Linked DNA regions of Daphnia pulex. The protein of the gene in region 1 purifies or fractionates together with the protein of each later gene. This does not show direct contact. Links are inferred from orthologs where the notes say so. Each region holds a gene or a part of one and is shown on either strand. Other genes may lie near its edges. The genes, in order: E3 ubiquitin-protein ligase Ufd4-like, zinc finger protein 622-like, structural maintenance of chromosomes protein 2-like and coatomer subunit alpha-like.

The links.
Region 2: the proteins of E3 ubiquitin-protein ligase Ufd4-like (region 1) and zinc finger protein 622-like purify together in Homo sapiens (affinity purification with mass spectrometry; 4 studies listed by BioGRID, with this or other methods). This does not show direct contact. The link is inferred for Daphnia pulex from reciprocal best matches to the Homo sapiens genes HECTD1 and ZNF622.
Region 3: the proteins of E3 ubiquitin-protein ligase Ufd4-like (region 1) and structural maintenance of chromosomes protein 2-like purify together in Homo sapiens (affinity purification with mass spectrometry; 3 studies listed by BioGRID, with this or other methods). This does not show direct contact. The link is inferred for Daphnia pulex from reciprocal best matches to the Homo sapiens genes HECTD1 and SMC2.
Region 4: the proteins of E3 ubiquitin-protein ligase Ufd4-like (region 1) and coatomer subunit alpha-like purify together in Homo sapiens (affinity purification with mass spectrometry, with the first as the bait; 3 studies listed by BioGRID). This does not show direct contact. The link is inferred for Daphnia pulex from reciprocal best matches to the Homo sapiens genes HECTD1 and COPA.

The regions. Positions count from the first base shown.
Region 1 is NC_060020.1:87,584-95,193, forward strand, and holds the end of E3 ubiquitin-protein ligase Ufd4-like, read right to left. Parts: coding exon 7,143-7,610; intron 7,027-7,142; coding exon 5,329-7,026; intron 5,239-5,328; coding exon 3,978-5,238; intron 3,907-3,977; coding exon 3,361-3,906; 3' UTR 1,819-3,360; downstream 1-1,818. UniProt on the Homo sapiens protein: E3 ubiquitin-protein ligase which accepts ubiquitin from an E2 ubiquitin-conjugating enzyme in the form of a thioester and then directly transfers the ubiquitin to targeted substrates.
Region 2 is NC_060020.1:4,435,671-4,442,845, forward strand, and holds zinc finger protein 622-like, read right to left. Parts: upstream 4,600-7,175; 5' UTR 4,501-4,599; exon of another isoform or gene 4,463-4,500; intron 4,386-4,462; 5' UTR 4,367-4,385; coding exon 4,231-4,366; intron 4,167-4,230; coding exon 3,443-4,166; intron 3,369-3,442; coding exon 3,146-3,368; 3' UTR 3,087-3,145; downstream 1-3,086. Other genes in the region: NPC intracellular cholesterol transporter 2 homolog a-like, read left to right, coding at 1,731-1,871, 1,999-2,038, 2,106-2,222, 2,289-2,399, 2,471-2,521, 2,583-2,616, 2,685-2,775, 2,915-2,998. UniProt on the Homo sapiens protein: Pre-60S-associated cytoplasmic factor involved in the cytoplasmic maturation of the 60S subunit.
Region 3 is NC_060019.1:8,744,249-8,752,225, reverse strand, and holds the start of structural maintenance of chromosomes protein 2-like, read right to left. Parts: upstream 4,678-7,977; 5' UTR 4,564-4,677; coding exon 4,246-4,563; intron 4,185-4,245; coding exon 4,047-4,184; intron 3,976-4,046; coding exon 3,393-3,975; intron 3,328-3,392; coding exon 2,797-3,327; intron 2,732-2,796; coding exon 1,778-2,731; intron 1,693-1,777; coding exon 1,511-1,692; intron 1,438-1,510; coding exon 559-1,437; 3' UTR 1-558. Other genes in the region: protein diaphanous-like, read right to left, coding at 6,222-6,465, 6,531-6,609, 7,352-7,598, 7,676-7,977. UniProt on the Homo sapiens protein: Central component of the condensin complex, a complex required for conversion of interphase chromatin into mitotic-like condense chromosomes.
Region 4 is NC_060025.1:3,020,000-3,028,029, reverse strand, and holds coatomer subunit alpha-like, read right to left. Parts: upstream 5,361-8,030; 5' UTR 5,255-5,360; coding exon 5,175-5,254; intron 5,088-5,174; coding exon 4,940-5,087; intron 4,878-4,939; coding exon 4,323-4,877; intron 4,249-4,322; coding exon 4,038-4,248; intron 3,971-4,037; coding exon 3,597-3,970; intron 3,524-3,596; coding exon 3,371-3,523; intron 3,306-3,370; coding exon 2,708-3,305; intron 2,644-2,707; coding exon 2,435-2,643; intron 2,373-2,434; coding exon 2,190-2,372; intron 2,122-2,189; coding exon 1,712-2,121; intron 1,644-1,711; coding exon 1,469-1,643; intron 1,393-1,468; coding exon 988-1,392; intron 924-987; coding exon 687-923; 3' UTR 425-686; downstream 1-424. Other genes in the region: guanine nucleotide exchange protein smcr8a-like, read left to right, coding at 1-70, 131-424; GDP-D-glucose phosphorylase 1-like, read right to left, coding at 7,795-7,916, 7,994-8,030. UniProt on the Homo sapiens protein: The coatomer is a cytosolic protein complex that binds to dilysine motifs and reversibly associates with Golgi non-clathrin-coated vesicles, which further mediate biosynthetic protein transport from the ER, via the Golgi up to the trans Golgi network.

The DNA.
Region 1 (7,610 bases):
ACGAAACTCACAAAATCGTCGTCCTTTGGTCATTTGAGAGCAGGGGTAGTTGGAGTCAGTGATGGGTGAGTTGGCCCACCAGACCGTCGGTTGCTGGGTAGTCAAATTATCCTGGCCTCGTATAGCTGGAGCAGGCACAACTCCCCCGTGCCTTGGGGCGACGGAAGGATGGCACGCATGTGAAAAGTATTGCTGAATGACAGCCCGTTAGTCAGTTGTCACTGATTTGTCGTAAGTTTCCACCAATGGATTCAGTCCATGGAATAGCGGCAGAGGTTAACCTTAAACGAGAATGGAGGTGACTTTAGATTTTAAAATTGCATGTAAGATTGTTTACGACAGCAAGCAATAACTCAAAATAAGAGTGGGCCCATTTCAAGGAACTAAGGAGAGGGAATTCAAGGGTTACTGCTACCCGGTAACATTCAATGGGTTAACAAACTTGTTGACCATGTTGGTGGTGTTTGCCTTTTCCGTGGAAGGATAACCAGATAGTTCTCATTTTGCCTATTGCAAAATTTAAATTAGAAAAAATAATTAAAACTACTGCACTCAACATGATGATTCTCAAGATTCTATGTAAACTTAACTTGATGACCCCTTTAATAGAATTTGTTATCTTTTCTTCACCCTGTTTTTATTGACCGTGTAGTCATTTTCCTCCTGGAAGAGATCACCAGGATGCTGATCCTCTTTCAGTGATTGACACAATCTAAATAAGAAAAAAATCAAATAATCAAAACTACTGCACTCGACATGTTGAATTCTATAAATTCTAAGTCAAAATAACTAATGGGGTAACAATTAGAGTTGATGAAAGACCAGGTAGGAAAATTTACGGATTGTCAATACACTAAAGCAAAAAGCTTGATACTGAGATGTTGCGATTTGAAAGTTTACTGTTGAAAAATTACACTTGATCAAATGAACTGTTAATAAAACCAAATTTGAACATTTTCTTTTAAAAATAAGTAAGAATGGTAAGCTGTTCACTAGGATTTCTCTTGACTTGTTATCCTTGGTTATTTTTTCAGGCAACTCACTGACATTGGGACACATCCAATGTTGACAAGGTATACGGGTGAATAACAGCATAGACCTTGGCAGCCATTACTATATCACACATACTTGGCACCACAGCCGTTTATCTTAAAGATTCACGCATTAAGTGTACCTTACTTACAATATGAACAATGAAATAAGCACGTCAGAGAACTTGAATTATCAAACGCCATGGAAGAGGACCGCGACAAACGACATTTCACCTGGGCGCCGCCATTCGGAATGCCAGAAAAGGGCGACGTTGCCATTTTTTTATAAAAAGAAAAATAGAGTTAAGTGGTTTTTTCTTAAACAAATTAAATCCACTGAATTCGTGAATCGTGATTCGTGAATGAAAAAAAAAATAAATTCTTATCTTGAAATAGTTATTGGATGGCTTGTCATGTACGTTTATGCTTCACGATTCTGAAGAAATACTTACAGTCTACCCGAGGCCCTGGATTTCTCGTCAGTCGTCACACGATGGCACAAGTCTCCAATCGAAAACTAAAATATTCTCACAGTAGACTAAATAAGTAATTTGAACCCCACGAAAACAATTCAGTTCAACTCTAAATGGCAATTAAATTTCGTTTAGCCAACAACCCACGATCAAAATCGCAGGTTCCTATTGATCCGCATTGTTCTGGGGTTTGCTTTTCAACGTCTCAGCAAGCCAATTTGGTCTTTTTTTTAAAATAAATCAAACGTCGTGAATAAATCGTCGGCCAAAGAGTTTGGACGGAGGACGGAGATTGGTGATTCAGGTTAGGAGAGTTATCGTTGAAACGTATACTTGATTAAAGTAGTAGTTACTACACCATCATGTGCAAGAGTAAATCCGGCATGACCAAATGACAAACATGAAATATCTGAATAAGGAGGAGCAGAATATATTGAAGAAGAGAAGAGATAAACAAAACAAGACAAAATCCCGATAGTAGTTCTTTGGAGAGGGCGAGAATAGAAAGGGGTGTAGCCGGGATGGGAGTGAGACGAACATATAAATTGAATCATAATTAATGAAATCAATCAATGCGCAATCGATGCGAGAAAGATTACATCATATGTGTGTGTGTGAGGGGGTTGGGGATGATGAGGGCACAATAAATTTTTGTTTTTATTATAAAGATGCGAGTTGAAATTTCACAATAAATGTGGTGGGGGGGGGATGGCGCGCTAAATGAGAAGTAAAGTGCAGCGGTCGAAATGTGGACAAGAGTCCCACAGTCTCATTAACCGACACGCAATCACACACGTTTAAAGATCTCCAAATGCCGACAATAAGAGGCTCGTGTGTAACTTTTATTTTTCCCCACTCTCTGCTGGTGTCCTACCATCGATTCACTACCGACTTGCGAGATTTCCGCAAGTTCTCGCAAACGAATTTTTCCGTTTTTAGTCTATTTTTTTAGTGGATGCCATCAATAAGGGGCGCGGTGATATCAGGGAGCTGATGGGGGAGGTAACAAGAAAACCAATTGCGCACTCGTTTTCTCTTTTCCTGTTTCTCTTTTGTCTTCCTGTTACCAGCGAGTCAAAGATTAGCAAAGGAAATGGCAAATTTCTTTTTAGAATTCTTTTAGATCTAGGCGACAAGTTAAAATTAAAAAATAGAGGAGAGCTGGCCGTTGATTGAGCCCTAAATTGTATCAAAGGGATTACATGGGGAAAGGACACACGATTTTCATCATCATCATCAGGGGGGAGCAAGTAGTCGTTGATTTACGTTTCATCTTTATGTATCCTGCAGTTTGGAACAAAAAACAAGCCAATCGAAAAACAAAAGAAATGTTCACGTTGCAGGGACTGGGGGGGAAAAATAATAAAAACAAACAAATAAGCTGCTGCCTTCATTTTCTTCTTTTCTTTCCTTCACCTTCACCAGCTGATCCACACCCCGCCTTCCAACTGGGATCAAATGACACTAGCGCTACTTTTTTCCTTTCCTCTTTGTCTGTCTGTTTTTCTCCTCTGAAAATCGCAAAAACTTTGGTTTTTTCACATCGGGTGTAGTGGCTGGTGGGGCATTTTAGGGGGGAAACAATTTGGGGGTACACGAGAGAGCCAAAAAAAAAACGGTGAAATGGTGACAAAAGTCAAACTCCAACAAGAAAAAAAAATTAATAATTCCAGGGGGAAAATTGAGGCGAACCAAGAAATATGAATGAATTAAAAAATGGTGTGGATGCACGCACAATGAAAAAGCCCGCCAAAAGGGTTAAGGATTAAACAAAAATTCAAATTCAAAAAAAATGATGTTTAGGCAACGAAAAAAAAAAAAGGTTTTACTTTCGGATTGTGTGTGGGGCTGAGGTTTCAGTTGAGGTGGAAACCCTTTTCGCGAGTGGCGGCCAGGAGCCGCTCGCGCAAAATCTCCTCAGAGTCGTACTCGGGCAATTTGAGGTAATGGACGCACGTGTTGACGGACGGGTAGCTGCCGTTGACGCATCCGCTGCGGTCGCTGACGCCGTCCACTTTGCGGACGACCGTCAGACGCGGGTAGAGATTGGCCAGTCCGCCGGGCGGCAGCGACGAGCAGCCCGTCGTGAACTGGAGAAAGGCCTTGCGCTCCTCGGCGTTCATGCCCGTCAGGACGTTGACGAACCGTTGGAAGCCCGGGCTGTCGCGGGTGTAGCCCAGCTTCGGCTCCGTGTAGTTGAGGATGTCCTCGCGCGTCCAGCTGGGGCTCTGGTCGCCGCACAGGAGCAGCCGCAGCTCAGACGGGCTGAAGCCGGCCAATCGCGACATGGGGAAAACGCGGTCGAATCCCTGGCGAAGGGCCTCCATCTGGCGGCGGATGCCTCGTTCCAGGCAAAATTCCGCCATCTGTTCCACGTAATCCTCGACATTTTCCAGCGTCACCTTGACATTTTCAATTTTCAAATTAAATCAAAATTCCATTTCCACAAAATAGAAAAAATTAAATTTCCCACCTCGAAATCGGCACCGCCGGAACGCAATTCAACGTCGGTGAATCCAAAGACTTTGGACGACGGGGCAAACTGGAACGTCAGCGCCAAATCCTCGAGGCGGACTCCGCCTCCGACTCCCTGCCCCTGTCCCTGGGCGGCGCTCTGAATCTTCTGAGATTGCGGCGGGACGATGGTGGCCGGCTTCTGCGACATGTTGCTGTGGCTCTGACTCGACACGCTCGACACGGTCGTCGTCGTGTTGCTGTTCAACAGATTGGGCTGTGCCAGGGCCAAGTTGTCGGCCTGGCGGCAGCGATCCTCGTGGCTGAGCGTCGGGTCCGTCAGGATCTGACGGCGACGAGTGGCCAGGGCTCGCAACTGGAGGAGGAATCGGCCGCGGGTCGGATCCACCACGGCCAAATCTTCGTGCGAGAGGATGCCGGAGAACCAGGGCAGCGACGGATCTCGAGGGCTGCTGCTGCCCGTCAACGGTTTACCGTTGCCGCCCAGCACGTCGCCGTCCTGCGAGAAAACGGACGACGTCATGGGGTCTTCCGCTTCTTGTTGCTGTTGTTGTTGTTGCTGCTGTTGTTGCTGTTGTTGTGGAGGAGGTGGGGGCGGCTGCTGCGGCGGCGGGTGAGATCCAGCCCGGTAGTTTTTATTCCGTTTGCTGTCGCTGACGACAACGGGCTGCTGGGCCGGGCATGAGACGTCGCCCTGGCACAATAATTTGAGGAAAGGGGTCGAGAGAGGCAAATCGACAAGGCGGCCGTCCTGGAGGGCCTTGGCCAGGAAAACTCCCAGGAACCAGTAGAGCTGCTCGGCGTGATCACAGATGGGGGAGTCCTGGGGCAACGGGGCCGGGAAGAGACCCGACGGCCGCACCACGTAATAGCCGGGCGGTTTGACTCCTGAATCCGCCACGGAGGCCGCCGTTTCGGACGCCGTCAACTCGTTTTCGTCCTCGTCGTCGCAGATCCAAAGGGCCAAATCGCGTCGCTGACTCTCGGCCGCCACCAGAGCGTAAAACTCGAGCGACGGACCCAGGCCCGTCCCTTCCTCGTCCTGGAATTCAACCTCCAAAATGGCCTTGCGGTCGGCGTGGACCTTCATCACCTGCTGAGCCCAGTCCAGGAGCCGCTCGCCGCGGGGCACTCGCACACGCTCGTGTTTCAGCCGGCCGACGCGGAACTCGTGCGGGTCGTCCCGTCTGGGAACGGCGCCCGTGTTTCTCTGCCTCTCGACGGCCGAATCGCGTTGACTCTGCAGCCAAACGATCGATCTGAAATGCCAAAGAAATAAGAGAAAATATGTTTGGTTAAAAAGACGAACGGACGGACGGAAAAACCGAATGGACCAATTCAAAAATTACCGAGAAGTGCCGAAAGCGTTGGCGTGAAAGTACATCTGGCGCGTCTCGAACGGAATCAAAATGGGGCAGACGGTCAGGAGCTGCTCGCACCAGGCGGGCAGGGCGCCCGACGACACGACCAGAGGGTCGGAAAGTTGTTGCATCAACTTGTTGGTCACTTTCTTGCTGCTAAACTCCTCCAGCGGAATAAAGATGGTCGGACTGTGGTGCGATTGATGCTGCAGCTGCTGCTGCTCCACATCCGACTGCTCGCCGGCGGCCGGTGGCCGGCTGCTCAGCACGTAGAGCTGCCGCAGCAAAAGGAGGACGTCGCCGACGCTGCACGAGCCCACCGTGTTGCTCGTCTGCGTGTTGACGTCAAAGTCGGGCAAAAAGAGTTCGTCGTCCATCAGTCGGCGCTGTCCGGCCGCGTCGCCCATCGCTCCGCCCGTCGAGGGACCGACGACGACGACGGCACCGGCCTCGTCCTTGAGCTCCTTGTAGACGAGCGTGTAGGTCGGCTCCCAGATGCGGCGCAATTTCTCCTGGCGGGTGCCCAGGGCCGAGGCCTGGATCAGCTTCTGCACGGCTTTGAAGACGGTCCAGTCGCTGTCCGTCAGCTCAATTTCCACGTCGGGGATGTTGGGCAGACATGGGCCGCGCAGGACCAGGTGCAATTTGGGTTGCGGCACCAGATCGGCGTCGGCTTCCACGTCCATCGATTGAATGACGGACTGCTGCTGCAATTGCTGGCCGGTGGCCGAGAGGCCCGACGAGGACGGAGACGAAGAAGTGGTGATGACGGCTTCGGCTCCTTGCGCTCCTTCGGCGGCTCCGGGTGGCGGAATTTCAAGATCGGACGTTTGGTGAACGTTGGTACGGCCCGGACGGGGATCAAAGGCCGGAATCAAGGCGGAAAATTGTCTCTTGAGGACGAATTCGTCGTCCCAACTGCGTCGCTTCGTGTTGCCGGTCACGTGTCGAGATCCGGCTCCGCTGCCGTCGCCCGCCCCGCCCACCAGACTGCTGACTCCGCCTCCTCCATCCTCTTCCGTCACTTCCTCGAAATCTTCATCGTCTTCGTTTTCATCGTCGTCTTCGTTGTCGTCCTCGTCCGGCTCGGGCAACTCGTCGTCGTCTTCCAGCTCGGCCAGCAAAGTGCCGGCCCGGCAACTCTCCAAAAAGTCCTCCAAACTGACTTGCTCAGAGTCGCTGGAGCCCGTCAGACTCATCGACAGCGCCTGGCTCAATCCGTGGCTGCTGCTGCTGCTCGTCTGCTGGTGTCCCCCCTGGCCGGCACCAGCGCCGCCGTGGGCGTGGTGCAAGTTGGTGGAAGAGGCGCCCGCCATGGAAACGGCGTGGCTGGCCACCGACGAGAGGCTGCTCAGCGTGTTGCTCAGACTCGGGTAGCTCTGGGCCGTGCTGAGCAGTCCGCCGGGGAAGTTGGAGGACAGGGCCAGACGGACCAGACTGGACACGGAATTGGGACCGCGAGGGAAGAGCAGCGACGACGAGGCGTTCGATGACGAGGAAGACGAGACGTTGACGGCGTTGGTTCCGCTAGCGCCGTGGCCGTGACCGCCGCCCGCCATTGCGCCCGCTCCGCTGTTGGATCCGCTGGATCGATTGGCATTCGACAGGTCGACGGGTGAGCCGGAAGCGTTTCCTCCCGATGCTCCGCCGCTTCCACTGTTGGCAGCATTGCCCGCTTGGTGGCGTCTGTCACACAAAACAAAAGAGAGAAATCGAAATGAGTTGAATGATTCATTCCGGGTGGATGCAACTCGTAAGTGGCTGTTAATTTTGAATAATAATAGTCAAACTCATCTCTTTACCTTCGGGCCACATTAGCGAAGCTTTCGAGGAAAGCAGCTGGCGTGGGTCCGCCGCCCACTTCTCGTTCCGGCTCTGATGACGTCGTCGTCAAATTGGGGACGCTGACGCTCATGGAACCAGACGTGCGAACGCCAGAAGCGGCGCCGGAAGCCACTTTGACCGACTGGGAGGGAGGCGAAGGAGGCGACGACATGTCGTCCTGTTCGTCATCCGCCTGTTGTTGTTGTTGCTGTTGCCCGGCTAATTCGACGTGAGAAAGGGCCGACGAGGCGGCGGCCATCGTTTCGGCTTCGGCCTGCAATTGACTGGCCTGTCGTTCCAGGCTGCGGAGCAGATCGAACGCGTTGATTTCCAGCATTTCTTCCGTCACGTCGGCCATGAGCGAATCGTCGACGACGATGCCGTCCAATGCGGCGGCTGCGGCCGCTTGACTGGCCGCCGACAAGCTGATGGATGCGGCCGATGAT
Region 2 (7,175 bases), about 4.3 Mb from region 1:
CAATCGATTGCCAAAACCAAATTCGACCGGAGTTAATTCAATCGGATGATTCTCGTTTTCTTTCTTCTACTTTTTTTTTAAATTCCAAAAAGTCGCCAAAAATACCATTTTTGAGAGGGGACAATCAATTCTGATGGAAATTCGTTTATTTTTCTGTTTATTATTCCTTTTTTTTTCTCTCTTTCGGTCGAGTAGGAAAACAATCGTGTTGGCTTCACCAGATGGCGCAAACACTAATGTCTTTCGAATCGCTGTACCTCACACACCTGATGATTGTTTTTGTTTTTATTTTTCTAAGAAAAAACAAATGAAGACACTTTGTTCACAACAAAATCTTTTGGAGGGATAAAAACGAAAGAGGGATAACGGCGTGTGTTAAATTTTTTTTTTAATTATTATTATTATTCGTTTTACAATTTTCCCGTGAACCAACCATTTTTAAAATGCTTTTTTTTCGTACTTTAAATGTATAAACTCTTATATTTGTCGTGTTCTTTTTTTTCCAAATTTCAATAACAAGTGCCTTTTTTTTCTCTTTTTTTGTTGTTGTTGGCGACATTGTCGAAGTTTTCTGTTGTTTCCGGATCGTGGGCGTGTCGAAGGATTAGACACACGCATGTAGTGAAATGTGAAAAAAGAAATGATTTTTGGACAAACAAATGAATGGAACTGTCTTAGCATAATGGAAAATCGTGTATAATGTACAGATTTTGATCATGACGGTCTATCGAGCTTCCGCCGCGATTTGACATGTGAACGTTTTCTCTTTTTTTAATTTTTTTTTTTAATTATAAAAATAAGCCCTATGTCATTTCTCGACAGAAACATTTGCTATATCGTGTGCGAATCATAATAATATGTATAACCAACATTTTTGCTACCATCTCTCTTATTTGCATTTCTTACGCTCTTTATTTTCTCTCTATCCTCCATATTATTGTTGTTCTCCCCCAATCCCAATCTCCCCCTAAAACAAAAACTATCCGAATACATGTTTTTTGGACTCGATCATTTTTGCTTTGAAAAGAAAAAAATCTTGACAGTGTTAAACTACACATGCAAGTTGCTTTTCGTGGTCGGTCGGTATAGTTGGCGGGGCATGTTTTTTGGGGTCGGATGTTCAGCTGATCTTCGTCGGATGCAATTTCATTCAGCAAACTGCAGAGTTTGCAGCGTACGAATGAGGTCAGTTTACGATCAAAGTGCGCGTTTTATGATCCATCCTGTCAGCGGAATTTGGCATCATCGTTAGTCGTTTGGTTCAGGTCTGAAAGTCGCTTCAATTTGAGCTGCAGAATGAATGAACCCGAACGGGATCCATGCGTCGTTATTTATCATAGTTTTTTTCTAAACTGTTTTTGCACAGTAGTTAATCGAATTAACCCATTTCTTTCAGTTTTAGACAAAAAGTCTTTGAAGGATGCTTAACATACCAGATCACTTCTAGTTAGTATCCAACCCCCTTAAATTATGAGTAAATACATCCTTAATCTTCAAAGTTCTTTTATGTTTAAACAGTTTGAAGGCTGGTGTCAATTAAATAATGTTGCCCATTATAATCACTTGTTCCTTTTCGATTACCAAGCACTCAATCCGTGGGCTCAAGATAAACTTAAAAAATGGTGAACACATAAAGATAATGAATGTACTTCCTTTTGAAAACACCCTTGCTAAACAACAAATCTTATCTTATTTGATTACAATTGGTCATAGTTTTCGATTCTTTATCAATGGCGGAAGTTTTTGAAATATTGTACTTAATCTCCTCGTACTGTACCACGCCCGCCCATTGGCCATGGCGTCCAACAGTCGAAAAAGTGGAGCAGTTGTACAAACTTGGCATTGATCATTGTTGCTGCAGACAGAAAAATGTAACATCGTAAATTAATCGTTGGTTATCTGTCAACGTAGACGCGTCTCATTTCGTTAACGAAGTTTTAATTGTTTTGTTGAATTTGTAAGTATTTTTGCTGAAGTAGTCGTAATCTCCGATTGCAGGTTGAGCCAAATTGTTCAATTCTTAACGTTGGGCAAAGTGGTACACCACGTCCGCTTCCTGGCTACTATATATTGCGTTTTGTGTAAAGATGATCACTTTCTCACAGGCTTTCACTCTCTGTCGACCACTTGTTCTCCCAAAATGACTGCTGTGAAATCACTCGCCGTTCTCGTTCTTGCCTCTGTTGTGTTGGCAACTCATGCCTTGATTTTCAAAGATTGTGGTAAGGTTCATTTGTTTATTTTCTATATTAAGCTTGCCAATAACCATCTGATTTTGGTCACAACAGGATCGGTTTATGGGAAAGTTCGGTCAGTGGCAGTTTCTGGTTGTGAAACGAGCAACACATGTATACTTAAATCTGGTTCCAGTGCCAACTTTACAGTTGTGTTCACTTCGTGTAAGTATTTCAAGCCCAATTTGTATTTAATAAGTCTGAAGTAAAACACATTCACTCTGTTCATTATCTAGTGGAAGATACTGATACAACCAAGGCTAGCGTCCATGGTATTATTGCAGGAAGTAATATGAAAATAAACCTTTAATTCTATTCAAGTAATTAATAATAATACATTACTTTTAGTTCCTATGCCTTTCCCTCTACCACAGAGTGATGCGTAAGTGAAAGCACAATTTTAGATGTAAACAGTGGTTTTCCTTAATTTTATCATCTTTCTGTTTCTAGTTGTCAAAATTCTGGTTTGGTCTGCCCCTTAAGTAATGGACAAAACTATACTTACACAGCATCCATTCCAATCAGTCCTGCTTACCCTAAGGTAAAAAAAAGGCTTACTATTTTACCAAAAAGTTTCGCATAATCATTTTGGTCTTCAAAATGCTTGCACTTCATTGAAATGTCATTTAGATCAAATTTTACCTTTTTTGTTTCTTAATGATTTATTCTTCTATGTTTAGATCAAAGTACTAGTCAAATGGGAGCTTCAAGAAGTTCATGGGAAAGATTTATTCTGTATTGAGATCCCTGCCGCAATCTTGTAAGCGGACTCAAAACATACCTTACTTTATTCTGTTAATTTGTGTTCTAAAAGTGTTTGTAATCCAATAAAAAAAACAGTGAAATATAAAATGTCGGCGAAACGTATATATTCTTCACCAGTGAATGAATCAGCAAGTACTTTTAATAATCTACATATCAACTTGTCTTCTAAAATGTTTTTGCAGTTTGTTAGCCTTCACACTAACACCAAGCTGATTTTTCAAAAACATTTTCCGCATAAATGTGATGTCTCTCACTTTCTTTTCCACTATCTCTTTAGTTGATGTCGTCCAGCCTAGAGCCTTGAAATAATTTCCGTGCTGAATCGCTGCGCGCGTGGGTACTGGTCTTGGGTTTGGATTCAATTTTTGACTAGGAGTTTTGCAAAGAACCGAATAAGTAAAATGGCAATTGAAAAAAATAATAAATATTAACATTTTTTTTACCGGTAATAGCGGTTAAGGGATCGATGCCCAATCGTTGAGCCAGAAGGCAAAACTAGTTCGAATCCTAGATCGTTTATGACATTTGGCTCCACTTCTTCATTTGCATCCCCACCATCTGGGTAGCTAGTGGAGTAATCATAAAAATCTGAATATTCCAGCAGAACTTCACCTTCATGAAACAATTTGCAATGTCCCTTGTCAAGCATATGCTTCTGTACTGCCTCTGTTGAAGGGAACTGCCGTCCAAGATGCCCACACCACGTACAAATATGTCCCTGGCCAACTCGTTCTCCCAAGTAAGTTACCATTCCTTCTATATCAATAACATATTCAAAATCTGGTATGAAGAATGAATGCTGTGATGACATATGCTTCAGACTGCTCTCCAATGAATCACTCTTGTGATTGCAGAATAAGCAAGATGTTACTGGAATTGCTTCATCATCATCTTCCCATTCATCTGAATCGTCTTCTTCTTCAACTTCTATTTCTTCCTCGTTCACAGCTACTTCACTTTCAGCAGGGCCAGCATTTTCTGTCTTCTTGATAGCAAGTTTAGGACCATTAAGGACATTATCTTGATGCTTCTTTGATGGCAAATGATTTTCATATGACTTTTCAGAACCAAACTTTTTCTTGCAGTAGGTACAGTAGGGTGTCAGGCTCTTTGTGGCTTCTTGCTGGTTTGCCTGCGTCCTCTGTTCCAACACACGTTGCTGGAATACTGAAAACGATATTACATGCATAAATTTAAATTTGATATCATATTGAAAACATTTGTTTTATACCCTCTGCAGTAACAGGCGGCAAGTCCACAACTTTTCTTTTGAGGTTGTAGCGATGCCAATCTGTTTTATAGTGCTCACGTTGGATGTTTGGCTCTTTAAACGCAACGTGACACGATATGCAAGTAAATGTCATCATTTTTCTGGCACCAAATAATCTAAGATATCAGGTAGTTCACATAGAAATGTTAAAAACAACTATTATGAAAAAGTTAATGTAGTTCAGAATACATACGAACACAAAATGAAAATCAAACAATCCCGTCGATTTACCGTTGATTAAAAACAAAACGTAACTGCTTGAAGACAATTCAACACTGCAACAATGCAACGGCCATGCTGTTCAAGAATATATTATTGATTGTTACTCATAGATGGCGTTTCATCAGCTTCACAATTCTGTTTGTAGATGTCACTTTCCAATGTGATTGACAATGTGAAATTGTTCAACTGGTGGCGGGAGTTATTCGTGATTGATGACATTCCTCCATTTGCTTTTGAGTTTTGACTTTAGAGATAAGTTGCTAGACTTGCTACTCAGATTATGGTGCATTTGAGATTATACATAATTAAAATTAAAGGTAATTCTGTTGTTTCGATTTGTGTTTGAAATTTACAAGTAATCTAGCAAATCCTTTCCACTGGGTCAAATCACCTGATGCCTGGTCCATTTTGTCAGTCATCTCTTCACTTCATGTTGATCAAATTTTATTACTAGAAAGCTATTGATGTAGTTAATTGATAACTAAGAAGTTGATTCCTTTATACTCTGGTCTTGTTGAGTTTCAATAAGACATCAGACATGATTGAATTTCTTTTTGTTTGAGTTTTTTAAGAAGTTATAGGAAAATCTTGATAACTCTTAAATCTCTCTCTTAAATTTTCAAGTTATTGCTGATGAGAGCTCTTGTACGTTCCTTAAGTCTGTCAACAAAAAGCAAGTTCCAACTTGTGCAATGTTTATGTTCAGTTATTAAATTCCCCCATTTGTGGAATTCAGTTTTCAATGTGCAGATTATGACACAATTTTTTTTTTAGCTTTTCTCTTTTTCCTAGTAATTTCTTTTACTGTTTCTTCTTCACATGCACATTTCCCCCTAAATTATTAATAATTGTGAAGGTAAATTTCAATAATAATTGAATAAAGTGTCTTTAAAAAATGGGTTGGCAAGGAATTCTTTTTATTCCATCCAGGTTCCTGAGTGAAAACCTTTTTTTAGTATTTAGTTGGAGTGCTAGTGCTTGTGTTGAAGCCAGAACAAAAAACAACGATAGTTTTCTTGTCCATTTATAACTTACATGCCAAACTTTCTATAATATTTATTGTGTTGTATGGACTGTATATGCAATTGATAAAGAAAAGAGGTTTTCAAACAAGGATCAACATCAACTGTGTGCACATCATGAAATGATCATGGATTGAGTTTGAAAACTTTGATTATTTTTTAAAAAGCCAACTGTCCTTCAAATGGTTCGAAATGAAAGATTTATTCATTCACCGAAGAAACAAGTCAAATAATTAAAATGGCAATTGGTATAAAGTAAGTTTTAAGCCATAACCATTTGGTATTCATTTTGATATTCGTAGTTTTAGACCCATCTGGCCATCTCCAGCAACGTCAACCTGCAGAAGGAAAGCCCAGTTTGCATGTCCTTCACTTTCGAAGGTCACGGAGATCATTACGGTAAACGTGTCATGCAGTGGGGGAGAGGTTTGGTGAGAACGAAACGTGTTACATAACCATTTGGTATTCATTTTTAAATTTGTTTTTGTAGACCCATCCCCAACAACGTCAACCTGCAGAAGGAAAGGCCAGTTTACATGTCCTTCGCGCTCGAAGGTCACGGAGATCATTAAGTAAAACTTGTCATGCAGTGGTGTAGAGGTTGGGCGCGAACGGGCGTTTTGCATCATTATCAAGCAGGTACTTAAGCCGCAAGGCTTATTAGGAGGTGAAGTATGAAAAAAAAATCGTATATAAAGGAGAGAGAAAAGGCCAGAGACGACATCAGTCGAGTGAGGATCTCCGACACGGCAACAACTGTAGCGCAATATCTGTCAACAACTGCCCTCTTCATCGTATCATCAGTTCGCAATCATGGGTATGTAACATGTATTCTGTTTTTTACATGGTGTTTTGTATTGATGCTACTTATGATTATTTCTTAATGTCAGTTATTAATTGAATATTAATGTTTAAGTTTATTTATTGTCTAGTTAATTATGGCGTCGTGCTGCTGTTGGGTGTTTTATCTTTGACGGGTTGGTCGACCACTGGTGTACCGATGTCTCCTGGGTATGGCGGATATCAAACCACAACGTCGCCGCCTTACGGCAACAACCGGTTACTCCACCAAGACTGAGTATTACAACAAAACTTACGATTCCCCGAGCTATTACACAGAAGACCAGAAGTATAACTCTGCCCCGAGCTACATCATCAAAGAGCCGTAGTACTACACCACTAAGGCATCGGAATACTACACGACTACGTAAGCTGCCCCTGCCTACTACACCGAGGCCCCTAATTTCTACAACACCCAAGCGCCCAAGTACTACACTATAACCTTCGCTGCCCCGAGCTACTACACCGACGCCCCGAAGTATTATTCTGCGTAAAATGAGTCGTCTCAAAAGAGAAGTCGTATAAAAGGAGAGAGAAAAGTTGGCAAAAATCAATCGAAAGAGTCTTTCCGACACCGCAACAACTGCAGCGCACGATTTGTCAACAATTGGATTGTTCATCTTATCATCAGTTTGCAATTATGGGTAAATGTTTTGGTTTTTACATCGAGTTTTGTATCAATCCTTTTTTTTCTATTTATTACAGTTATTATTAAATATTAATGTTTAAATTTATTAATCGTTAGGTTAGCTATAGCGTCATGCTACTGTTGGGTGTTGTATCTTTGATGGCTGGGACGATCACGAGTGTACCGATGTCTCC
Region 3 (7,977 bases), on another chromosome or scaffold:
CTACATCCCTCTGGAAACCCACACTAGAGTTGAATAGTTCAATCCCTAAACACACTGAAACATTTAGCCACCTAGTGACAGCCCTTAGCAACCACGGACGACTAGAGTCATGGACGGAAAAAAAAAAAAAAATAAACCAAATAATCAAATATTCGTCATCTCCGTGAAATACATTTAGTACATTTAAAAAAAAAGCAATTATCGAAAAATTAACAAGTGAGCTTTCTTGGTGGAATACTTATCGTCAGTATTACACAAGTATGTGTAATACACAAGTATTACTGTGTCGTGTCGTTTTTGTTAAGCTGATGTTTGTCAACATAAGAAAAAACTTCAATCGCTTTGCTTTTCTTGGGAAAGTGAACATGGAGATGCGAATTACTAATAGGCCTACAAGTAAAATTACTTAATTTACGCAAAATAAAGGAAAACTACGAATGATTGATTCATTTTTAGTAACTGACTGAATTATTATTTACCGAACGCATTACACTTAATAGGTTCACGCTTCAGAAAAGATGAAGTACGATTTACAAATGCTTTCTGATACATAATCGTCTACTTTCGTTTTTTAGGCCGAGTTTCCTCTTCCTCCGCTGGGCGGGCATGAGAGTTCGATTGTTGCTGAGCCAATCGACTGACCGTAGACATACCTTCAACAAATTTTGTGCGAAAAAGAACATTAGCATTGTTAAACATACCGTCTTTCAGAGATACAACGATGAATTGCGACTGCTTAAAATGTTGCTTTAACATCACCCCAATGTTCTGAGTGTGAGACAAATCCAAGGCTGCGTCTACTTCATCAAGAATATAGATAGGCGCTGGTTTGAATAATAGCATAGCCAAAATCAACGACAAAGCCACTAAGGATCTCTGACCGCCACTCAATTCCGATAAACTCTCTTTCCATACTCCGCCAAAAGCAACTTTGACTTCGAGACCGTCTAGCACTGTTTGACCGTCCGGTGGCTGCAGTTTTGCTTTGGTTCCGGGTAACAGGGTAGAGAAAATAGAACCAAAATCTTTTGTCACTTGTTCCCAAGCCACTTGAAGAGTTTCTTTCTTCTTTTCGTCCAGCTTCAGGATTGCGTTTTCAATTTTCGCCTTATCCTCTTCTACAATCCTCTTCTTCCGCATCAAGTCATTATACTGCGCCTCTGCTTGTGTCAACATAGTCATGGAACGAACGTTGACATGGCGACCAAGCTTTTTCATGGATTCCTCTAATTTATGAACGCGCTGTCCCAATTCTGCTCCATTAATGACGTTAAAATCATAATTAGACCCGGCTACTCCAAAATGGTGTCGATCTTCGTTTATCCAAGCATGTTTTTCGAGCATGGCGTCAACACGCTTTTCGGAATCTTTTGCGTCATCTTTTGCTTTGGAAAGCCGATGTTCCAATTTCTTCAAGTGCAGTTCACCTTCACTCACCTTTGCATTCAAAATAAAGAAATTAATTAGAATTATGAAGTATTGTAAATTGGGATTTAAAAAAAAAGCCAACCTGAGCTTCGCGCTGTTCTTTACCAGCAATTCGTTTGGAAATTTCTTGATTTTGAGCTGAAATTCGTGCCTTAAATTCGTCAATTTGTTTTCTGACTTCCTGTACATTAGCTTGTTCAACTGCCAGAGCTTCATTCAACACTTTCATTTCTTCATGTAAATTGGCTAGTGTTATCTCAGTCTCTAGATGAAGAACAAAAAATTTAATAAAAAGTGCAAAGATAATTTTGAAACATACAATTCAATAACAGAAACAGTATGTCGTTACCTTTTAATTGAATGTCAGTAGTTTCAATAGATTTTCGAAGTTCCTCCAACTCTAGTTTAAGCGAGTCAGCATCATTTGCATGTTCCTTCCATTTAGACTGTGAAGCAGCTGCCGCCTTCTTGCAACGATCCAATTCAGCTTGGGCTGCTTTTAACTGAGTTTCCCGAATCTTACCGGCATTCTTTAACTGATTCTCCAACTCCTTGATGCGCGATTTACCTTCTTTAATGATGTCGGTGCATTCGAGGGCCTTTTGCTCTGCTGATTCCAATTCCGACTTCATATTTTCGACTTCTTGAGTTTGGCGGTGGTGAAGCGTTTGCTGGAGCCTTTGCTGGAGCAATTCAAATTCGTGCTTTTTCACATCGTAACGCTGTTTCAGAGTGCGATACTGTGCTGAAGCCTGCTCCATAACTCGAAGTTCTTGTTCCGCTTCCTTTAGTTGACGATCTTTTGCCTCAAATTCGTTGCGGTACTGCTTGATTTCGTTAACTCTGAGAATAGCAGATTGGCCAGAAGCTCGACTGCCACCAGTTAAAGTACCACCAGGATCAACGACATCCCCCTCCAAAGTTACTGTTTTACGCATTATCTGATCGTGAAACGTAACTTGTCGAGCTTCGTCTAGACCCTTACAAACAAAGGAGCTGCCAAAAATGTACTTCATTGCCGGCGTCAAGTGGTTCTCAAACTCAATCAAAGATATTGCGGTATGGCAGTTTTCTTTACCAACGATTCTTTTGGCAGTTGCCGTAGTCCGTTCATCGATGGTTCTGCCTTCAATTTTGTTGAGAGGGATAAATGTGACACGTGACTGGAGCTTGCCTCTCTCAAGAAGCTTTTTTGCCGTGTTTTCGCTGTCGACTACTATGTTGTATAGCCGACCTCCAGCAGTAATATCTAGAGCAGTAGCGTAGGACATATCTGGAACTTCAAATAAACTGCACACCACACCTGTTCACGAAGAAAAAAAAGTTAAGAAAAGAAATATAAACAAAGTCACACTATAGAAATGCAACCTTTCACAGTAGATGCGTCGAATTGCCTTTCAGGAGGGGTGTACCGAAAGGCCATTTGAGGAAATCGAGCTTCGAATGATTCAATTTTCTCTCGCAGCGAATGCATTTCCGGTTTCAAGCTTCTTTGCAACTGCTCTAAATTAGTTACTTTCTCTTCATCATAGTGAACCTGCCCAAGTTCGGCTTCCAGTCTCTTAACTTCATTCTCGAGGTGCTTAGAGTTTTGTGCATCTTTTTTATAATCGACCTCCGACTTTTTCATCTCATTAATTTTAACTTTCAGCTCTTTTTTTAGATGTTGGGTTGTCATTTCCGAATGCTTCAACTGCGACTCGGCTTGAGCAACATTCTTTTGCGTGGCCATGAGTTCTTCAGGTAAAGTGGCCGCAGCACCATTGTCACTGGCCAACAAACCAGAACTGATTTCTTGGAAGCGCTTTTGGGCAGCTGTCAAAGCTTCACTATCCTGTTGTTCAGTTTGCCTTAATTTTTCAAATGTCTCGCCTAGTTTACTCTCTTCTACCTCCTTGCCTGTTCCGATGAATATAAATACGCTATAATACTGAAAATATATAAAATAAAAGTTAAAATTTTACCTTCTAAAGCAGCGGTGTCGTCGTCAAGACTTTTCTTCAGCTCTTTTTTCCTCTTTTCTTCAGCTTTAATATTTTCCTTGAGCACCTTAACAGCTGATTGGGCTTTCGATTCGGCTTTTTCTTGAACACGCAATTTTTCTTCAAGCTGTGTAAGTTCTTTGCCACCAACTTGGTCTCTCTGATGTTGAAGAGTATGAATTTCTTTTTCCAGTGCCTCAATTTCATTTTTGAGTTTTTCTTCAGTGGCACAATGATTTGTCTTTTCTTTTAAAATCTCATTGTATTCCTCCTTTACTTGGGCATTAGCTTTTTCAAGGCTGAGGAATCTATAAGCTACATATTGGCGGTTCAAGTGTTCTAATTCACGTTCGGACTTCTGAAACTGCAGGTACTGAGTTCGTTCTTCTCTCAGTTTGTTCAATGTTGGCGTAACTTCTTCTGAAAGGATGTCATTGATTTCTTTGATTTTTTCTTCCTTTTTCTCAATTGTTTTCAAAGCCTGTTGCTTTTTCGCTTCGTACATTCTGGTCCCTGCAGCTTCCTCAATCATGGCCAATATTTCAGGGGGTTTCATATTCAAAACCTGCAATGTGAAAACACATACTTATACACTGAAATGCAACCACAAATTGATGAATGAGTTAAGCACAATACTTTAGTAATTCTTCCTTGCATGATAAGGAAATGAGGATTGTTGACATTTAACTGCACAGAGCGGAAAAAATCTTGGACACGGTTGTTTTGAACATTTGATCCATTTATGAGATACTTGTTTTTTCCACCGATGACAACCTGAAAATATGGAAACATAGACTATATATCCTAGTCATAATGAAATCATAAATAACAATACCTGTCTAGTCACTGTAACTTCATCATAATGCTCATAGCCAATTGGACTTTGTTTTTTGTCTTTGTTATCAAAGGTGACTGTCACAGTGGCTTTCGTGACACCTGCTTGTCCACTTTTGTATACTAATTCTTGCAAATTTGTTGCTCTTACATGGCTCAAATTTGTGATGCCAAGAAGGAAACAGATAGCATCCAGAATGTTAGATTTACCACTACCATTTAGCCCTGTAATGGCATTAAACATTGGATCAAATCCATTGATTTCAGTTCTTTGGCCATAGGATTTGAAACCATCAACTACCATAGATTTGATGTACATTTTTTAAAACACAAAAATACTTGATCACGGCTTGCCAGCCACTCAACGTCTTTTCCCGCTGTTTTCTCCTTTTCCTTTCAACGGCTCAACGCATAACTTACGTAGGCTATGCTTTCAACCCTCAAATACTCTGGATTGGATTTTCAAAAAAAGAAGCCTTTTCCCACCACACTTGATGCGTATGTAAACGCACGATAATTTCGTAGCATGAAAAGTAGGATAAGTGGTAGAAAAGGGCGTTCAGGGGTGTTCAGAAGACAGAATTGACGTGTCACTGTTGGAAGATGAAGATAATTAAGAAATTTAGGGAATTTTTTTAAGTTTGTAAAAAAAAAGTGTGTTTGACCCGATTTTTTATCCGGGCCGTTTTACCCGGCCGGTAAAAATTTTTTGACCCATGGGTCGGCCCGGGCCGAACCCATTTACTCTGTTGGCCCAACCCGCGGAAGAAGAAAAACCCATCTAAAAAACCCATTTAAAAAAAAAAACCGCTAAAAAACGTCCGGGCCACAGCCCTAACAGCGAGTCAGCGACTGCCGACTCATGTCCACTGGTCCACTGACAGCCAGAGAAGCCAGCGGCCCCACCTGGCCCCACACTCAGAGCAGAGAGAGATAGTATGCTACGATGCTACATGCTACGATCGTGATGCTACTGTGGCTCTGGCCAGAGTACCAGAACCACAGAGCAACCAACGGCAACCAGAGGATGCCTAGAAACGAAGAACCCAACGACAAGAACCTAGAAATCGTTAGATTCTAAAACAGCGTCAGATTATGTCCTTTAAATGTTTAAAAAATTTAGTCAAAATTGCTCACTTGTAATTTTTTCCTTTTTTTTTAGCACGGAACATTGTCCCACTTGTATTGCAATTTTTTTTTGTTACGACCAGACACAACTGTACATATCTATTTACAAGAAAATTTCAGTTGTTATCTAAGAATAAATATAGCCCAAAGTGTTCAAAAATAATAAATAAAACTATTTGCTTCGGCTCGTGAAGGAGAAAGGGTGAGAATTAACAACAAGGAGCTGAGCAGAAAAAAAGGGCATACAGTATATCCTTGGGTCTTACGATCAGCACGATTGTGTTTACATGGAATCATGCAAATTTCTTTTTTAAACATAAATTCGATAGCAAACAGAATTGCAAACTTCTCTCTCACAGACAGACAGTCATGTTAAGTCATAGTCATATTATTTAGTACAGAAGGCAAACAAAAGGATAATCGATGTGAACCGAATGCCTCAAACCAAGGCGTAATTAACAATGTAACGAGGCAGGCACATTTCATCAGTGTACAAATGTCAGCACGATCCATCAAGCGTTGGGTGACAAATGTAAAAATCCAAAAGGCCAATTTGACAAACTTTGGGCTTTCCCAATCAACTGCTTGGACAACAGATGACTGGCGAGTCCCAAAAGAAAAGCACAACGCCCACAGACCAGAATTCTACCCCTTTGGAAGATCTCATGGAAATGGAATGATAGCAACCCACGGTGAATATAACGTAATGGCACATATTCTGAAGCGCAAAGATATGTTCATGGAAAACATACTGTACAATACAAACAAGGCACGTCTATGGGCTTCAGATTTCGGAACAAAATATAGTGGAATGGAGCAAGTACATCTGGGAAAGGGGGTGAGGTTTCGTTAAAGGGCTTTCAATCGTTGCATCAGTCTGTCTGCCTCTGATCCGTCATCAGCGGCAGCTAAGTATCCACCTCCGTTGTTGAGCTTCACCTCCCTCTCTCGGCCTCCACTCATTAGTAACTCGGCAGCCATGTCAAACTTGGGCGGTGGTCGCGCTTTTCTTGGGCGAGGCGCTTTCATGGCTAGCCCATCCGTCAAGTCATCCGTTATGGCAGGAACTGGAGGTCTTTCGTCACCGAATGTCCTGTTTTCATCAATACAAAATCAGAAACAATGCAATCGGAAAATGACTAACAATTTGTTCAATACCCTTTCATTTCCCGAGATGAAGGGGACTCTAGTAGCGCTCCTTTGGACCGACTGCGATTCATTTGTGCACGGCGCTCCGCTGCTCGAAGACAAAAACAATTTAAAAAAAAATCATCATTAGACGGTACAAACAAAAGGCACTTGTCGAAAGCCCATGCAAATAAAAATGGTTTGCAAGCCGATTACATCAAACGGATTAAAAAAAATAACGATGAGTTGTGGTGAATAAATAAATGAACACTGTGTCCGAAGCTGTTAACAAAGTTTAAAGGCAGCAACTTTTTGAACGCGTTATTTTTTTTTTCTCTTTTTAAATCAATGTTGGTATACCTTAAAAAAACTGTTTCGGGTAGTCAGCAGCAAAACTTAATAATAATTTAAAAAATCACACACACACACACACACACACACACGAAAAAAGTTATACCAAACACCGGCAAGTGGCGGGGGAGGGAAATAAAATCCAAAGCAATTCGGTTACGGCGTGCCATCATCTTGGAAGCGGTCATGTCATTTCAAATTTCCAACTTTTTTAGATTGCAGTAACTGAACTGGGGATCTCTTACCCGTTGTGAACTCGGTTGGATCGGTCTGCGCCGTTGCCAACAGGATTTGCAAAGGAGAGCAACGTACGAATTTTGGGGATATGGAAACGAAATGTTATGTTATACGCTTCAACTCACATTCTAGACAACCTTCTTCGCTCAATTCTACAACCGACTTAACGGACTGGTGTCTTTGGTACGTGCCAAATAATGAAACAAGTTCTACGATGTTTGTACGAGATGACAAAACGTGATGAACGATAATTAGTTAATTACCTCCGACTGCACGAGGGGGTCGATCCCGTTTCCGTCTCTGATCTCTGGAGAAAGCGGAACCCGTTTTCAGAGCCTCCAGCAGCGAGTCCATGACACCTTCCTGGTCGTCGTCAATATTCATGTCGACTAGCGCTTTCTTTTTGGCTTGGCGTTCGAGTTTTTCCCGCTCGGCTTTCTCCTTGGCTTCGCGCGCTCGTCGGATCTTTTCCTCCGTTTCACGCAGTTTGCAATTATCTTTATAGCATTGCTGGAGAAAAAGTTTCAAGGTTAACACGATACTTTATCCGGATGTTCCATCATCAAAAACAACAAACAGAAACTTACATTAAAGGAATCTTTGAAGGTTTTGACGTCGGTGAAGAATTCATCCAACGTGTACTTTTGCGGATCAAAGACAAAGTACTCGGACAATTCGTGGTAGACAGACTCCATTTTCTTGCCCATTCTGACGAGGACGTCGCACTGGTCCCGAGCTTCCCGGGCGAAATTGCCCATGACTTCCAAGAACTTGTCTTCGTCGGATATGGCCGCCTTGGCGTTCTTCAGATCAGTCTCCAAGTTCTTGATTGAACTGTCCATCTGCTTTAGTGTCTTCTGGATTGTATCCATCGAGACACGGGAAGCCC
Region 4 (8,030 bases), on another chromosome or scaffold:
GTCTGCCCAAATATTGAAAAATGCAAACATGAGGTGGATGGGGAGCTTAGGACAGGATGTTGGAGTACAGGTAGACAACAGTTACTGTACTTTGACCTCCTACAAGTATTATTTCTTTGATCCTTGACAGGAGAACAACACTATCACTAGTCTGCTTGACAAATGGAATCATCTAACTCAGCCAGAACCTGAATTAGGGGATCAAGAAAAGAAGCTTAAGCCATGGCATTTGCTCTGTCCCATAGGAATCTCAATTGTGATATCAGGTCTAATATTTGTGTATAAAATAACCTGTAGACCTCTGGAAGATCAGATCTTGGACCCAAAGGTGATTTGTTCAACTTATGATTTGTTTACCAACGTAAACCCCGATAATGTTGATTTTAAAGCTGTAATGTCTCAATTAAACAGTTTTATATTATGATCAGTTTGTATCGAGAATTCCAGAAAATAAATCAAGCAACACGGATATGTTTAGAAGATAGCTTTATAGTTTATACTTGAATTAGAACTGGTTCTCCAAAGGTGTTTGTTGTATAACTTCAATGTATCTAGTACCCCAAAATTAACAAACCAACATAGCAAATAGCGAAAGAAAAATAACAAACTGTTGATCAAAAGACTGGGGTTCGGCCAGTTGATAAAATAAACGATACTGGAATTATCAAGGGACACGAACGTTTCGTTTATCGAAATTGGGCGGTACTAATCCGCAATCCGATGCAATCCTTTCCAATTTCAGCAACGGTACAAACTTGACACAAGGATCCCTTCAATGAAGGTTGGTAAATTGAACTACAAAGAGGGCACTTTTCTTCTGGTTTTCCGCGATAGATGGGCGTGTAAGTTTTAGCGCACAAGTTGAACGGGTTGTGCTCATCGTAGTGGAGCTGGACTTCATCATTTGCACCTTTATCGCATGCCTGTGGACACAAAATAAAAAAAAATTGAGCATGAGTTACCACAATAAACTTCCAGATGAAGTACCTGAAGGATTTTGCGAGTTTGTTGCGCCACTTCGGGTTTAGGTCCAAGTTCCAGGAGGCGCCGGGCAAAGGAGGCCGCAGTGCGGAAGTTTTTGAGTTTGAAACTAAGATTCAGCGCCGTTCTCAAAGTTAAGATCTGATGGATGGGTTGCAGCTCTGAGTGGGTGAAGTAGGCTGCCATTTCACAGCTACGCTTCTGATCCTCTAAACTCTCCTTGGGCAAATCTTTACGAGCAGCTTCCATGCTAAGGCCAACAATATACTCCCGACAGATGGCAATTAATTCTTGGGCCTTGCGAACTTCTTCTTTGTTGTCGACCACCAAGAGTGGAACATTTAACAAAAGCAGGCGGAAACGATCAACAGCTTCGTTGAATTTGCCAGCAGTCGTCAGTTGATAGCAGATCTGTCAACCGAATTAAATATAATTTAACTACTTTCCCAAATTGAAAAAAAAAAAATAAAATAAAATGATGGCCTACCTGAAGCCTTTGAGCTAAATCAGCCAAGCGAACACCAAGTGCAGGTAATCCGTGAACTTTAGAGGAGGCAGCAACTTCCCTCCAGTTACGCTGTGGGTATGCGGCCAGGGAAGGTAGATTAGGCAATCCAGCAAACATAGTTCGTGATTTGGCGAAGGCTGCGGTAAACAATGGCCTAACGGAGTAGAAAGAAACGCTATGTTATAAGCAAATGACGAAGGAATTAACAGTTATTGTACGTACTTGAACGGTGCAAAATTAACGACACCAATCTGGTCATGGAGGAGACGGAAAGCAGATTCATAGGAGCCAGCTGAAGCGTGATCAATAACCAATTGCGAATGAGTGGCCCATCCTTGCAGAGGAGGCTGACCACGAGTGGGTGGCACGTAATAACCGCGGTCTTCGTCTTCACCTCCATGAGCAGCAACGCTCAAATCGGATGGTAACTCTAAATCTTCATCACCCACTTCCCAGCCACCTTCTTCATCTCCGCTCTCGGCATTGCCAGCCGATCCAACCGGTTTATCTTCATCATCAAGACCAAGATCAGCATCATCTCCCCAGCCATCAGGTTCACCGGCATCTTCCTCGGTAGCAACAGCAGATCCAGAAGCAATGGTACGAGCTGCCATGGCTCCATCGAAAAATCCCTGTTCCAGTTCATTTCAAATGTTAAAGTTCCCTCCCATTAAAATCTATCAAATGAACAATGGCGTACCTTGGAAACGGTCAACAATGGCCAGTTGGATTCCGCCTGAGCAATTGGAGGAGGCGGCTGCAAGAACACAGCAGATGGATTTACAGTAGGTACTGGTTGACCGGCTGCTTCCAGTTGTTGTTGCAGTAGTTCGGCCTCTTCATTAAGCCCATGGGTAGCGGCAGTAAGGAAAGCCAAGCTCGTCTAGACCATGTTTAAACATTACTATCATTCAAAACTTAGTTAACTGAACCGTCCCGTATTACCTGTCCGCAGTTACGAAGCACCTTGACACGTTCTTGCATATCCCCTAGCAAAAGGGCCGATTGGTATTGACCCGAAGTGTCCTTGCGAATTTCAGCAATCTTCATCATCTTTCTTAGCTTGTCGAGGTTGCCAGTAATCAGATACAAAAAGGCCAACTTGTTGAAATTCTTTGTCCTTTGATAGCACATCTCAACGACCTGGTGGTTGCCTACAGATCCAATATAAAGTAAGTTAAACATCATTAAAAAAAAACTAATAGCGAGAATCCTGACCTTGAAGAAGGGCAGCTTCGCCAAGTTTCTCCCAACAGAACTTGTCGTCTAGAGCCTTGGCGGCTTCAAGAGCTGCTTCAATGTTGCCACATTGGAGAGCCAGGGCCAGTCGAGTCTTTTCGTCTTTGACAAAGTGTAGGGCAACCTCTGGATAACCTTTTTGCTGCAAATAAGCGATGATCGATTGGCCGACAAGTTTGGCGTGTCGAACCATGTGCAACACTTCGTCGTACTTTCGGTTGACCAGGGCCAACTTGAAGCAGTATTCGGTGGGATCCACCTGGAACATGCGAGGACGGGCATCGCGATCCAAACAGTAGATAGCCTTGCCCTTGACACGGGTGAGATACACGGGCAGATCTAGGGTGCGGATGATGCCGTGATCGCCGTTGATCAATGAATACTTGATGTGGTGGCTAGTGGTGTAGATCAGAACACCCGAATCTTCCCAGGTAGCAGACTTGAGTCTGGCGTTCTCCTGGATGGTGCACAGCACTTCAAGACGACGGTTGGCGATGGTCAAGACGTGCTTGCCCAGTAATGCAACGTGACTCATGTCCGCCGACCAAACGACATGGCGACATTTGGTCATTTTAACCTGCATAGAAAATTTTGAATGAACATGGTTGTTCTTGGAATGACCTACTTGCTTAGTTTTATTACCTGTCCAGCACTACGTTTCTGTTGGATATCAAATAAGGTCAAGCCTTCCGTATCACGAAGTAAAACGCATCCAGTACCAGCATAAAAGATTTCATCACACGGAGGTGTCTGAATTTTCTTGCTGACTTCGTTCTTTTCGTTTTTGATGACGATCTAAAAAATGAAAAATGAAATAAAATTATTGTAGAAAACCAACATTAACCCGGTGTTTATAGTCGTGGCATACCGTGTGGTTACGATCCAAGACAGCAAAACGATTGCGAGCGACCCAGATGGCAGTCACACCTGTTGAGCGTTTTCCATCGCCACCATCTTGCGGACAATCGGCTTCAACTGGAACCGAGTAGAGCTCGTAGATGGAATTGTCTAAATTGGCAGCGCGAGTGACAACCAGAACAGACTGCTCGGCAGGATTGTACGAGATGCTGTGGATCGGCGTGCGAGCGTTGCCCCTCAACTGCAGCAAACCGGTATCTTTCGACGTGGTAAGATCCAACCGACGAAGGGTACGCTCCTTGACGTAAAATAGCAGATTGCCGTGCAAGCTGTACGCAGGCCTTTCTCGCTCCAGCTTAAAGATCACCATTCCGGAATCGTGCCCTGAATAAACAACACATTAGCATTATTAGCGTGATCCAATTTGAAATGTTACAGAATGTTAATTTACCTGCTGCGAATAGACCCAAAGTTGGATGGGCAGCCATAACCCAGAAACGGTCGTGTTCACGACGGAAAGTGTTGAGGCACGTCCTCTTCGTGAGGTCCCAAACGCGGATACTCTTGTCTTCCGAGTTGGAAAGGATCAGCTCTTGTTTAGGATGGAACAAGACGCAAGAAACATTGTTGTAATGGCCACGGCACGTATCGACTTCCCATGCCTGTTCACAATACGGAGAAACAAAAAAGTTATTTTCAGAAGATTAACAAGTCATTTCTGCTGTGCTCTCGTCACCTTAGATTCACTCATTCGCCACAACTTGATCTGGCGATCGTCAGCACCCGAGATGACCAACGGAAGTGTCGGATGAAATGCTGCCCAATTCACTCCGCGATCGTGCCCCTCCAAAACATGGCGAACAACTGCGTCAGCTTGGCCAAATAAATCGGTGGCTCCAGGATTACGGAGGTGTTCATCGAGACCTCCAGGTCCAGGTGCCACATTCTTTTTTCTCAAACCTAACAAAAATAGAAATAATGATGTGATCTTGACAGTGAAAAATGGTTGACAACTGTTAATACCAGAAATGTCCCAAACTCTGACAGTTTGATCCAGGGATGCAGAAACAATCAAATCTTCTGTGGGGTGAAACTGGGCACACATGACATAGTGGTTATGGCCAGTCAAAACAGATACACAAGCTCTGCTTTGCCAGTTCCAGATTCTAATAGTTTGATCATCAGAGGCGCTCAAAATCCATGGGTATTCGTGATGGAAGACTGTGGTACGAATGTAGTCCATGTGGCCAGACAATGTGAATTGACAGCGCCGCAGCTTGTAGTTCCAGACCTAAAGGAACAGCATACATTATTGGCATTTGTTAATTTGTCAAGTCAGGCAAGGGTGGGTACCTTAATTTTGTAATCATCGCCACCAGAAACAAAGAGGGGCTGCTGACTATGGAAACAGATTCCACGTACAGGTCCATCGTGCTCATCGAATTTATCCAGCAACGCACACATACGATAATCCCATAGTTGAATTACTCCGCTATGCAAGCTAAATGACAAAAATTCAATTAAAACAATTCAGACTTTGACAACTGCCGACTTCAAGACGGGAATCAAAGTATGCAAAAACACGTACCTCGTTAGAATCCATGGTCGCTTGGGATGGAAGGAAAGGCCTTTAACTCTGGCCGATTTCGTTTCAAATTTAGTTAGCATTTTTGCGAGACATTAACCGGTGAACGGTCACCAAATATAAAGTATACAAGTCTCCGGAATAATGAAATGACAGAAGAGCCACGTCGCTGAAGTAGTCAAGATAAACGCCACCTACCGATAGGTTCATATAATATGAAGGTACTTCACGCTAGATGGCATAGTTCAGTGCGGATTTGGCTAGTTTTTTTTTTTTTAATTTGAATTGCCAAATTCTTCTGGTGTTGGTGAACGAAGTCAACGTAGGCGAGTCTTATCTTGTCGACTTAGTTATCGTTAACTACGCCCAAGGAATGATAGAGCGTGCTTTCTAATGTTGAAGTGAATTGCTTTAAGAAAAAACTCGATAAGATGAGTCAACAATCGAAGAGAACTGTATGAAATTTGAAATTCCACTTAAACGAAGATTCGAATGTTTTCTTTTTCGTGTCAAATTCAAGCCAAGTGTACTTTTGACAATACAAATTACGAGATAAGGGATTGTCGCATATTCGTAATTTCTTTTGAACATTATTCGTTAAAATGTAAGTTAACGAAAAACGAAATTTAAAAAATAAAAATCCAAGTTGATTATCCCGAAATTTACGATTAATTGCCGGTTCAACAACTGCAGAGCAAGTTTCTGTCCATGGAATGATATATATACGACCGCTAGACGAAGCGGATAATCATCAAACTAAACAGCGATTCATATCACCATGACGAAATTCGCAAAAGGGAAAAAAGCTTTTTCAAACCTGATCGGATACGTGATTACACTTATCGTTGTGTGGACATTTTTAATCTGTTTTGTCAAACTACCTCCTAATCAACCGGACATTAATGGAAAACCAATAAAAATAACATGCAACGAGTACGATAAAATTAACTATCCGATGAAATCCAGTAACCCGAGAGAAAAATACAGTGTCTGTTTTCTACAAGGAACATGTTTTTGCTGTGTAAGTCTCTTGATGTCAGGCATCCTACTCGCAAAGAAAAGATTCCGTTCTGTTTCATCATCAAACCGTTCTGCAGGCATATTGCTGGTGTTGTTTCAACTTCTGCTATGGATTGTAGCGTTGATTACTGGAGGTGTTTTCGTCTGGCTATGGGTGAACAACGGTCCAACTGAAACTCTGGCTCCAAACTTTCTAGCCGCCTGCAAACCGAACGGACTTGATGTGCTTTGCAGTCCCGACAATCATCTCGATGGGAATCCGGTTGTTTGGGTCACATGTTCAACACCTCCGGAAATGTGGATCCCCGCCCTATCCAATGCGCTGCCCACACTAGCGGCAATTCAGGCTTACCTTATGTTTGCAACATTATTGCAAATGGATTACTACTGGAAGTGGGAGGAAGAGGATGATTCTGCAATGAAAATTGTCCAAAGACTTTTCGGTATAATGGGTCCAGTCTTCACCTTTCAAATTGGATACTTTGACGTCATCTCGCCTAATCTGGCGAATTTCGACCAAGAACTGGTTTCCGGCTACCTGAAATGCTGCGCTGTTGCTTGTGTGTGGTTAGCAGTGGATAGATTTTGGACGAAAACTAAAAAAGAACCAAAACTTCCACGTTACTGGAATGACGTTCCAGCTAACAATGAAATCGCAGCCCAATCTGGCCAAAGCACCACAAACCTGACACCACCCCCCACACCTACTCTGCACGAACCTCCAGCGACGACAGGATCAGGAACGACAACAGGAGAAGCAACAGAAAATGTGTATCAGACCATTTACCCGAATCTGCCGCCGGAATATGAAAATCCCCCCGCCAGTTACAGAGACTCGGTCATCCGGAATTAAACGAGTTGGGAACAGCTACCAATTGAGATCCGTACGTCACTAAAAAATGTTATTCATGTCTGGATTTAAACGTATGACGATTTAATTTCATCAAATAAATTTCAAGTTCAACTTCACTCACTTCATTTCATGTTTCAATTATTTTAATTAAAACGTAGTATATTAGTTCTACCTCTAATATCACGGTAGAAATCATTTCTAACATATATGTCTAGTGTAACTGCGGTTAACCTACAGAATCACGACGGTCGTGACCAGCACAGAACAGAATTTTACGGCGTTTTTACGGCGTTAACCATCATTTGACATTGTCAAATGATGGTTGAATGGGGGAGGGGGGGGTATAAATTACCGGAATTCCAGCCCTTTAGAATTCCCCCTGCGAATCTATCATCGTAGTTTTGTTGACAACATAATTATCACGTCAAGATGAAATATACACAAAAACCCCCCAGAATAAAAAATTAAAATAGTTTAAACAACTGTGTTTCACTGGTCAGCGTTTTGTAAGAGACAACGAAGGCAAAAACAGCAAACGACCTGAAATTGTTTCAACCCAGCCAAACGTGGCCCGGCTCCAAATGAAAATTGATGCAAACCGAAATAAACCGAAAAATCGTTACTGTTGTCTGTGCTGTGCACAACCTCACGGAACCAGTTGAGCTGGTCGAGAGAAAAAAGCTGGCGCGATTTAATTACAACAGGGTCATTTACGTCAGTCATCTGTCAACTGGGAGCGATCGTTTTTGACTACGTGGCAAAAGCAAAGAGATGGGCAATCTGGGCGCCGACGCGCTCGAACCAGGGTGCCGTGATGCTGTCCAGCAGTTGGGCGGCTTCTTTTTCCGTCACGACCTGGTAGGCTGGTGGCTCTGAAATAAATGCAAAATGACCTCAAGACAGTTATAGTCGAAGAAATTATGCTGATTCTTCACAAGTTTAAACGCACCTTTGATCAAAAGGTGGCCGGCCAGCTCGCAAAGTGC